Neodiprion lecontei: one gene and its partner. The main gene of each other region encodes a partner of the protein of the gene in region 2 in a complex. Links are inferred from orthologs where the notes say so. Each region holds a gene or a part of one and is shown on either strand. Other genes may lie near its edges.

Region 1 (5,319 bases), on a different chromosome or scaffold from region 2:
TTTTTTTAAAAACAACAGCAGAGAGAGATATTTAAAAAAATAATTATTAAACGTAACTCTGTTAAATGTGATCTGTTTTTTATATACTTTACAAAACAATGAGGCAATTATTACTATTATACATATAGTAATGTTATAATAATGTGTCACCAAGACGTCACCGTCGCCGTCGCCAAATCCAGAGTTGATCCAGAGTCAATTTTTTTAATACAATCGAAATGTTTTACATAATTTTTAAGTACCTTAAAAAAAATAAGTCGTATTTTTTTTTATTTCAAATTTCAAATTTGTGCAGTATATGCTTGCGATATCAAGCTTTATTATCGTACAAAATTCTAGTTCTTTCTCTATTGTCTTTTGTTATTGATTTTCAAATTTTTATTACTTAGTTTTTTTATTTATCTGTTTCAATATTTCGTTGCTAAAGGAATGAAAAAAATGGTGTAGGAAAAGTAGATTCCGCTTCCCACCAGTAATTTACCTGCATGATTATATCTCTTTCTGTATTTCACATAGACCTTCAATTTTCTATCTATCTCTATCACTCTTCAATATGATAACGGTTTTGAACGTATTATTATTGCTATTATACTGCGAAGCATCGCACGAAAATGCATTTCACAATAATATGTAATTTGGTATGGAATTGACACTGCAGCCGTTTATTATATAATGTTATATACCTGCCGATGAAGATACTAATAATAATTTTTTTAAAATCAGCGGAAAATGTGGTGCATGGTAAGAGAGACTTGGCAAATTGCAATTGGCGGTTGCTGCGTTGTTTGGAACTCTGATCTAATCGAATGAGTATTTTGTGTCTGTAATCCTGCTAACCAGTAAATCCCGTAAAAACGCTCTCGTAATTCCTGATCCCCGTATTGATTAGCGCTCTCTAAAAATCCACCGGAATCTCTTTGTTAGCAACAATTAACGCACGTTCAATTATTATTTAGCCTTTACTACTTTGATATCATCTTGTTATCATTATATATTTTAAATCTAAGTTACTCCCTGCACGATGTAGTCTGTATCATTATCTTATATTCTCTTTATCACTTTTGGCACGTAATGCAACTTCAGTATTCTATCTTTTATATACGTTTGACATTATATTCGTTACATCGATTATAATTTTCACCTTCATCTATCTATTATCTATCTGTCTACATGACTATCTCTATATTACTACAAATTGCAATCCATGGAGTTTGCTTCAAACGGGGGCGGTTTTTTTTTTTTTTTTTGCCGTCTACTCGCTAATCCATTGGCCAACGATTTACGATTTGCAGTTGCATCCGAAAAATTGGGTTTGCCAAAGGAAAACAACGATCGATCTCTTCTTTTTCAACTATCATTTCTTAAGATCAATTCAAACAACGAAAACCATATTTTACATGTTCAATAATAGCTTCAGTCGCAAGAGTTGAAACAATTTTTGAAGCGCACCATTTTTCTAACGTCACTGTTTAGTGGCTTAAAATATTAGCGCAAGATTAGGTTAGAAATACTGGATAGTGACGTTGAGAGAATTATGTGCAAAAAAAAAACAAAAAAAAACAGTCTCAAACACCTCTGACTTCAAATCTATCGGTACCTACATTTTGCAACATCATATAATAGTGTAACAATTTAAAAAGATTTTAATTCACAAACTGAATGAACGTTTAGGGTAAACTAAACATGTTGCGGCAAACCCAATTCCTCGTAATTGTTGACTTCGAAAGTGATGACAAAAGTCAAAAAAATTAAACAGATTAATGGTGATAATGATAACAATAATGATAAAAAAAATACGTATCATGTACAGCTTCTCTGCCAGAATACATGCCTTGGTGCAAATAATTAGCTTGGCCTTATAATAGTGTGAATATTGACCAATTTCGAAAACTGAACTCCCATATAAAGAAAATTATTCAACCTTTATAGGAGCCTATTTTAAAACGAATTCACCGTAATACCAGTTTTTTCACATAACACTTCAGCAATCAGAAATCGAATCCGGACGAAAATTTAAAAATTGTACAAATTTTTTTAATTGAAAAACATGAAGTAAGCTTGAACGAAAGAAAATATTGCTTTAGTAGAAACTTGAAAAAGGAGAATCAGAGAACTTAATTTCGATTTTTTTTTAGTTTGAACAAGTTTAAGTTTGTAAAAATTCAAAGCCGCTGCATGAGTCCGAGAATCAAATATCTTACAATAGGTTCACTAGCTTATCGACATCTTTTCTGTTACTATTCAAGACTAGGAAACTTGAAATCTCCATACGTCAAAATTCCTATAGATAAGATTGTGAGAATTTAGTTAAATAGGAAAAACAACCGTTGAATTCTAATTTCACGTGTTCAGAACGACTACAAGAAATTTACAGCTTAGAATCGAACCCGATTTGCATTTGAACTGAAATATTGACGAAATCAGTTACATACAAAATTAGGTACAATACCGATCGAAAAGCGCTCCAATGACTTTTTACCGACGGAGACGAACATGAAGGAGTTTGTTTCCAGGCAATGGTATGTGAGTTCAATTGACGGTAAAAGTCGCCACCGTGAATGTAACGTTAAGAATGTAACAGCGAAACGACTCAAGGTTAGGGTTTTAAGGTTATGTTGAACCGTTCTGATGCTTGTTAACAAAGAGATGCAATGTATTCCCCTAATTTTCCGCGAGTTACTAACAAGGACGAGTGGTCAATGAATTAACGAGGTGTTTCACCTGGTATTTCCAGAGGAGCCAAACTTTCGATTCGGGTTTTACGGATTCGAAAGAAAATGAAAAACCAAATCACGACGCGGCAACTAGTTACCGCAATGTGATTAATCAGCCAAATAAGTTCCAAACAACACTCGCCTGCCCCGTGTGTGTTGCCTAACGTCAAAGGGAAAGATCTAGAGGACCCCAGAAGTCACAAACGGAAGGATAAGACGTGAAAAACGGCAACACAAATTCAAACTCATTCGCAAACATAAACGGAACTAAAAAAAAAAAACTCTTACCACGTGCCACAACCGCCACACGTGTCGCCTCTCTTCGCCGTAAAACTCCGGCGAGAATGCAGTGGTTCGCGTCAATTTTCCGCCAATCGAACAAACTCGAACAATGTTGGTAATATTCTCAGGAGGAACCGACGAGGAACTAGCGACGTCATCGAATCAGGACTCGGCGAGTTCGTCGGCTCCGGGGGGCGGCCATCTTGTAAACGGAAATCCAACATGGCGGGGAGCAACCGCGCTCGCAGTAGTTCTCATCGCAAAGTTTTTGACCGGTTCATAGCTTCCAGCGTGGTAGAATTCGTTCTTCGTATAACGTTGTGCGGAGTGAAGAAGAATCGAAACAACTTACGATCTCAACTTGGACTAGAGATGTGTGACAAAGTGAGATGTCTAGCCAACATCCCAATAACGACCGTTGACGGGACCAAGACAGTTTGAATTTCGAATTTCAAATTCAAAATGCGCGGTATATCGACGTCGATACCATTGTAACCCAGAAACGCAGGTTGCAGGAACCGCAAGGTAAATATAAAAAACCGAAAATCGATATTGGTGCAAAGATTCTTAGAAATTAATCGTAAACAAGTTCAGACGTTCCTCAAAAATATACCGTGATTTCGGACAGTTCTCAGGAAGAATGAATTCTAACTGAAAAAATCTGGACATACCTGTAATAAAGAAAACTTTCGTAAGTTTTCAGAAAATATCAGCGTTTTCTCGTAAATCTGGTGAAGTTATTTTTTTTTCCTACAAAAATTGATATACTTCTACAAAATTCCTAGGAATTATCAGGATTTGTCCAAAGATTTATCTGAAAAACTGGGAAACTGTTGGAAATTCACATTTTGAGTAAATTTGAAGACATTTGCGAATGTTTTGAAAAATAATTTTTGGCAGGCTCGATCGAAATCGAAAATCGAACGTTAGATAAATCTTCTGTCCTTGAATCGCACAACAATTTCATCTTATTTCAAAGAATCATCAAATTCCAGAATACAAACAATTATACTCATTGTGATGAAGTAATTAGCTTCTGTTTCCAGTCGATTAGCACATTACAGTAACGAACTTTGCTCTTTTCAATACTGCCAAGAAGCTGTGTGAGTCGAAAAAAATTGGTTATAAACTATTCAAATTATATGTACTAGTAGACGAATCTCGCGGTGGTAAAAATAATAACAAAAACATTATACTACAATGAACTACTAACTGTGCGGTTCGAGCATGAAATTTCAGTTTCTGTATTATACAATTCAAACTACATAAGCTATGTACATATTGCTCAGTCAGTGATATTTTTATGTAACATATTACAATGTCATGTCATAGAACTATAATTATATAACAATTATCAAATGAATATAGGATACGAGATAGGATATCAATTATCATTACCTATATTATAGTGATAGATGATTATTCAATGAATGAGATTATACCGACGTATAGTATATTTAATATTATTAAACCCTGTTTTTACCACATTCATAATAATATAAAAGAACGTCAATCATTTTAATATCAGTGACATAGTAATAACAACACCAACTAAAACAATAATAATGATAATAAAAATAACAACAGTAACAGTACAAACATCTTCTCTCAATGATGGAATCGTATATAGATTTTTCCATAGGTAGTGTTATAAACTTTGTTTGATTCAATCTACCGAAATTCAGGGTTTCTACTGCGTTACACTGTTGTGACGATTTTTATTATTATTATCATCATCAGGATCATTATCGTTACTATTTTCATATTATATGGTATATAACCAGAGATTTCGAGCTGATTTATAATTGGAGAGAATAATGGAATGGTTTCAAGTTCTTTACATAATATACTATAAAGTTCTGGAAAACAAATTATCTTGCCAAAGTTATGGTAAAAAAATAATCAAGGGTATTATTGATGATCAGATTTGGAAATAATGGTCAGCGTTGAAGGGGAAATGTACGTATAACGATGCATTTCGATTAGTTCCATACTTGAATGTTTTACTTTTTGTTTTGTTGATACAGACTTGAAAGGACACAAATTACTATTATCAGACTTATTTGAATTACTGCGGTTAAATATTTTTAAGCCTTCTTCGCCGTCGTCGAAAAACCATCCCTTCTGTATTACGCACAATCCACTCAATTCAAGATACACACGCAAAGGTGCTAGAGCAACGTTGCGACATGACAATTACCTATATTGTACATATATCATGTGTTTGGATGCGCGACGTGGAATTATTTGTATCGTTACACACATGAATCGTTGGAAGATGAATAATTATGATTGTACCAACGTAGTTAGATTTTATCATGAA
Region 2 (4,952 bases):
GTTACGCAAAACAAAACTTTTTCTCGATATCTGTATTCGGTATTGCATATAGAATTGCGCTGACTGCGGCATTTTTAAACTAGTGTCGCGGAAACTTTGATAATAGTCAAAATAAATAAGTGACATTTACTCGGTCAGTAAATACTAACTATAACATCCTTTTCAAAAATATTTCGAAAAATAAGGTCAAATCCCTACAAACCATGTTTCTCGAGTCAACGAGCCTTGTGGTAATAATTGTGTCAACACAAATCGATTCGTTATCGTCATTCTGCGCGAATTACATTCCTGCAACGCACACCCGATATGTGGGAAAATACAGGGGTTGGTTTGTTGAGCGTTTACGTGCCTACAGGTGGGCGTATGACGTCAGTCGCCCACGCGGCTCCTTTATCTGTACCCATTATCGCGACAACATCCCGGCCTCATGTTGCGGGGATGCGACGCGACGCGTCGAAGATTCGCGCGGCTGCGCATATCGGGCGGCGCAAACGCGCCGCTATTTAGGTGAGGCCGGGGCTGATTCCCAGTCAAAATGAATTTTTTCCACCACACCTGTTGCCTGATATTGTTATTCAAATAGAAATCGATTACTGAGATGGGGGACAAAAACGCCCACGTGATGAACAAAGTCCAGCTAAGCTTAGCTTTGGCTTTGAATCACTTCCGCATTTTGGATAATGAAGCAATGGATCACAGAGCTTCGCAGCTTACACCAGAGTTCAAAAATTACAGACTTGATTTAGTTTGTTTTAAGATCATGTTTATTACTCTCAATAACAACATCCCGCAATTACTGATGTTACATCGCAAATTCAAGACTGTATTTGTTCAGGAGACGGTACTGGTAAATAATGTACGCGTACCGACAACAAATTACACGCGGAATGTCAAGTGAATCTTCAATTTCAAACTATTTTTCATTTCAAATAGTGAAAATCCTATTTCCTCTTATCTTCTAGATAACGACGTAGATTAGGCAAAGTTAAGCATACAACTTTTAGACTAGTGAACGGAAAAAATTCAAACGATAATCTGAAGGGTATACGGTTTACCTAGATTTCACGGTCGATATTCCCAGTAATTACAAAATATTCCTGATTCTTGCATTCACTAGATACATCATTAAAACTAAGTATAAACGTTTCAATACAAATATCAAATAGGATAGAAAAGACATTTATTTTTCATATATTGAATATTGGCTATTTGACTTCCTTGCACTTTCCACAGCATGCATCGGTCTGTTTTTCCAAATCTGCAGGTTTATGGTTTGGTGTCCACGGGCCTAAACTTGCAGAAGCATAAAAGTCCATAGGATATGGTCTGTCATTGTCCAACTCTGCTAGCTTCAGAGAAACTGAACCCTCGTAGGGCGTCAGTAAAGGCTTTTCAAATGCTGTACCCCAATCTATGCTCAGCCTTGGACATGCGACCTATGAAACAAAGTGTGTAATATAAGAAAACCGATGTTAGACTCGCAAAACTTGAAAAGCCTCGAACGTTACACAAAAGAAAGGTAATCTCAAGTTATATATATCTGAGGAAAAAAGACAGACAATGTATAATTTCCATAGCAAGCTAAGTATCGTACCTGTATAAATGCATCAATATCGTCAAATAACTTTAGTTTATCAGGAAATATTTCTGAAAGAAGAATAATAACGGCTTCTTTCTTCAATACTTTGATCCGTTTCTCAATAGTCTTTAATACATCGGGATTTCCCTGTCGACCCAAGGTGCCTAGTATAAGTCCAAATTTCTCCGCACTTTTAGAAGTTTCAATCGCGGTTCGTCTATTACTTCGCATTCTTTCATGGTCATAGAATTCCTCAGTTAAACTCTTGTCGTAAGGATCGTAACGATAGGCCCGCAATTTGGGGTTCGCAATCATTGCTGCCTCCAAATGAAAACGACCGTCTCCCAAGTATATGACCGCATCTGCGCAGCGAATCTGAGGCGCCGTACACCCGAGCACCTGATTAAGAAATGAAAGAAATTAATGAACACATTCATTAATATATTATGGTTAGTCAATTATTTTAAGACGTTTACTTCGCCAGGGCTAAGAGGTCTGCTTTGTGGTACGGTAACTTCATATCCAGCTTTTCTCATCTCGATAGCGACAGCCTGGAGCGTTGAGGCAAATTGAATAGTGCTGACTAATGCTATTTTCGTTGTTACCAACAAGTTTGCCTGCAAAGACTTTATGCAATGCATTGCATCGATTTTTATATCAACAAATATATACAGGACTTTGATTCCCACTGTTTTGTCAACTGGTATTAGGCAGGAATGACCATAATGGACAAGCAGATCGACCCCGAGAGCCTTTGCCGTATAATCGTCAATGCAGCAAGCACCTGGAAGAAACATTCACCGTCAAACGTCATTGTTGTCCTATTTGGTAAAAGAGTTTAAATTTACTAAATCTAAATATTTGAGATTATAGCTTCAATCAAGCATAAATTTTGTCAATGTATTATTCATCATATTTAATTTTAACATATTTGGAAATTCAATGGCCTAGAGACGATATACCATAAAATTTGAAGTTTCGGAATAGAAATCAAACTTGAAGTGAGATTCTAATGCAAACTAAAACCGAAAAAACACAAATCTAAAACAATTTTGATTGTAATCGTACCATAAGTAACGTCTCCCATAATGACAGTTTCAGCGCAAGTGAATTCTTCTATAATGTCAGAAATGGTGGTCGCAAAAATAAGGAGACCTTCAGGCATTTGAAGAGCTACTCTTTGTGACTTGAGTTCTTTTATTCTCCATATTGTTTTGTGAATTTCAAAGTTATAATTTGTCGGCAAAACTGCAATGGCGGCATTTAGCAACGGGTCGTTTAACTGCTCAGGGGGTATTTTATTTACCCTCACCGGGGCCTTATAAACCCTTCTTACTGGCTTTGCCTTCACCACAACAACTGTGGATTCACCTTGCTCACTCATTGTTATAATTCACGATATCAATCTGTAGATGTGCACTTTTGAACTGTTTTGTAATAAAAGTGAAGTTTGGCTACTTTAAATATTTTCTTATCAATTGTTCATCTACTTTTGTTACCGATTCTTCATGAAAGTTGTCAATTTACTTTATCTTTTCATTTTTTACTATCCACAATGTGCGTATAATGTATCCGCTACGTTTTTCCTACTTTTTCCATACATTACGAGAATACTTCGGACATCATTGTTTACACTTTAAACTAATTTGGTAAATCCACGTTAAGAGGTAACTTTGCTTTTTTGACGTTTCATTTGCTGTTAGATTAGGTTAGATGAAAGTTGAAAGGTTAGGAAGCTTCATCTTGAAAAAAACGGATAGAAGAAGATCACCTTGATTCCAAAACTGGACTACAAAATGTGGTCAAGTCGGTTTCTACCTTAACCGCGAAAGGCAGTCATACAACAAGTGAGATCCAAGATGACGTTTGTACTTTGCTTTATTACTTGTTTATGCTGTTATTCCTGAGCCTTGCCAAATCTAATTTCCTTTGTAAGGAATAAATAAATTTTTTGATCCCCAGAATCTATTTTTTCACGCTCTTTTACGCTGCTAGAAACAGGCGTTTTTTCCCGCTGTTTAAAATCCATAAAATGAATACAAGTAGAATTAGCCTTGTGCCCAGTTTAATTAGCGGTAAAATTTCTGCCAGTGGTTAAAAATAAGCATCTAGAAATTATCGTCAATACATCTAATTTCCCGCTGAAAGAAGAACGGGGCTTTTTCAGAATGCATTAAATGCCCAGTGCGCATACGCCAGAGTGTGTAGTTTTGCTGTAAAAATTGGAATCCGATTCGGTTCTCGGTTCTGTCATTGTTTTCAGCCTACATGGCAACAATCGGTTCTTAACCGAAAATTTACCTTGCGTCATATACTCAAAAGCGTCATGCACAGCGTTATAATAACTAGATACATATGCACGCAGTTCTAAGGATGGTCCGATGCAGCGATACCTAAAGATTCTTTTATTAGGTTGTAAGTCTCGTTCTGTTCGATCGTTCGATTCCGAAGCAATACGTCTGATCATCTAAGCCAGCTTCGCTGTGAGGTATGTAGTTAACAATCGCAAATTAATTTTCTTTTACCAAAAATTGATCGAATCCTTTTAGTATATTCGTTATTTTATCAGTGTCGCGTGTGCCTTGTACGATACATGTGTTCATGCTTGCTTTCTGCTTTCACCAATGTATACAATCAGTTCTGCCTACAATGTTTTGCAAAAATTTGTGCTTCCACCAATGTATCCAATTAGTTCTACCTCCAATGTTCTGCAAAAATTTACTAATACCTGTTACGATTGTTTTCATTAATGTTATTTAATCTATTTGAGAAATGTTCCTTAGCGTGTTGTTAAGATAATAGTAGAACATTATTTTTATTCAGAATGCTTTCTTTTTTCGAAAACTTGGAATGCACTGCCGGCCCACATTAACCCCTTAACATACGATTTAAGTTCCGAACGCGCGGGCCCATAATCAACAGCAAGGTCGGTCATACGTGTAAATACCACGGCTCTCACTCGTGATTCTCATGTTTGGCCCGATCGACGTAGCACGTCTCTCACACGAATATTGTAGGTGAAGGGGTTAAGAACTGTAACATTATGTACCGCTCTAAAACTAGTCTGTGGAATTATACTGCAAAATTTTAATGTATGTTGTATAGTATTAGTGAGTAAGTGATTGCCAAAGCTTGTGTACTCGTCATATGATATAAATTATATTTCTGCACCTATTGATAATAGCTTAACTATTTACCATATGTATAGGACAGTCTTACCTGTTGATTATTTATAAATAAATAAATAAATTATTCTGGAAGAAAGATCAATGTATCTTGTTGGTTTCAAATAACTTTACAGTATTGTTGCAATCCTTATTATTTGTAATATCTTATTTACCCAACATTCAACCATTAGTGATTTTTAATTTTC

What was found.
Region 1: 2-(3-amino-3-carboxypropyl)histidine synthase subunit 1 (region 2) and DPH3 homolog share a complex: the UniProt entries of both Caenorhabditis elegans proteins name them as parts of the 2-(3-amino-3-carboxypropyl)histidine synthase complex. The link is inferred for Neodiprion lecontei from reciprocal best matches to the Caenorhabditis elegans genes dph-1 and dph-3.

Annotation. Positions count from the first base shown.
Region 1 is NC_060261.1:12,575,807-12,581,125, reverse strand, and holds the start of DPH3 homolog, read right to left. Parts: upstream 3,125-5,319; 5' UTR 3,003-3,124; exon of another isoform or gene 2,782-3,002; coding exon of another isoform or gene 2,735-2,781; intron 1-2,734. Other genes in the region: matrix metalloproteinase-14, read left to right, coding at 3,125-3,279. UniProt on the Caenorhabditis elegans protein: Required for the first step of diphthamide biosynthesis, a post-translational modification of histidine which occurs in elongation factor 2.
Region 2 is NC_060264.1:26,690,469-26,695,420, reverse strand, and holds 2-(3-amino-3-carboxypropyl)histidine synthase subunit 1, read right to left. Parts: upstream 3,335-4,952; 5' UTR 2,964-3,334; coding exon 2,648-2,963; intron 2,364-2,647; coding exon 2,056-2,363; intron 1,979-2,055; coding exon 1,595-1,978; intron 1,437-1,594; coding exon 1,206-1,436; 3' UTR 747-1,205; downstream 1-746. UniProt on the Caenorhabditis elegans protein: Catalyzes the first step of diphthamide biosynthesis, a post-translational modification of histidine which occurs in elongation factor 2.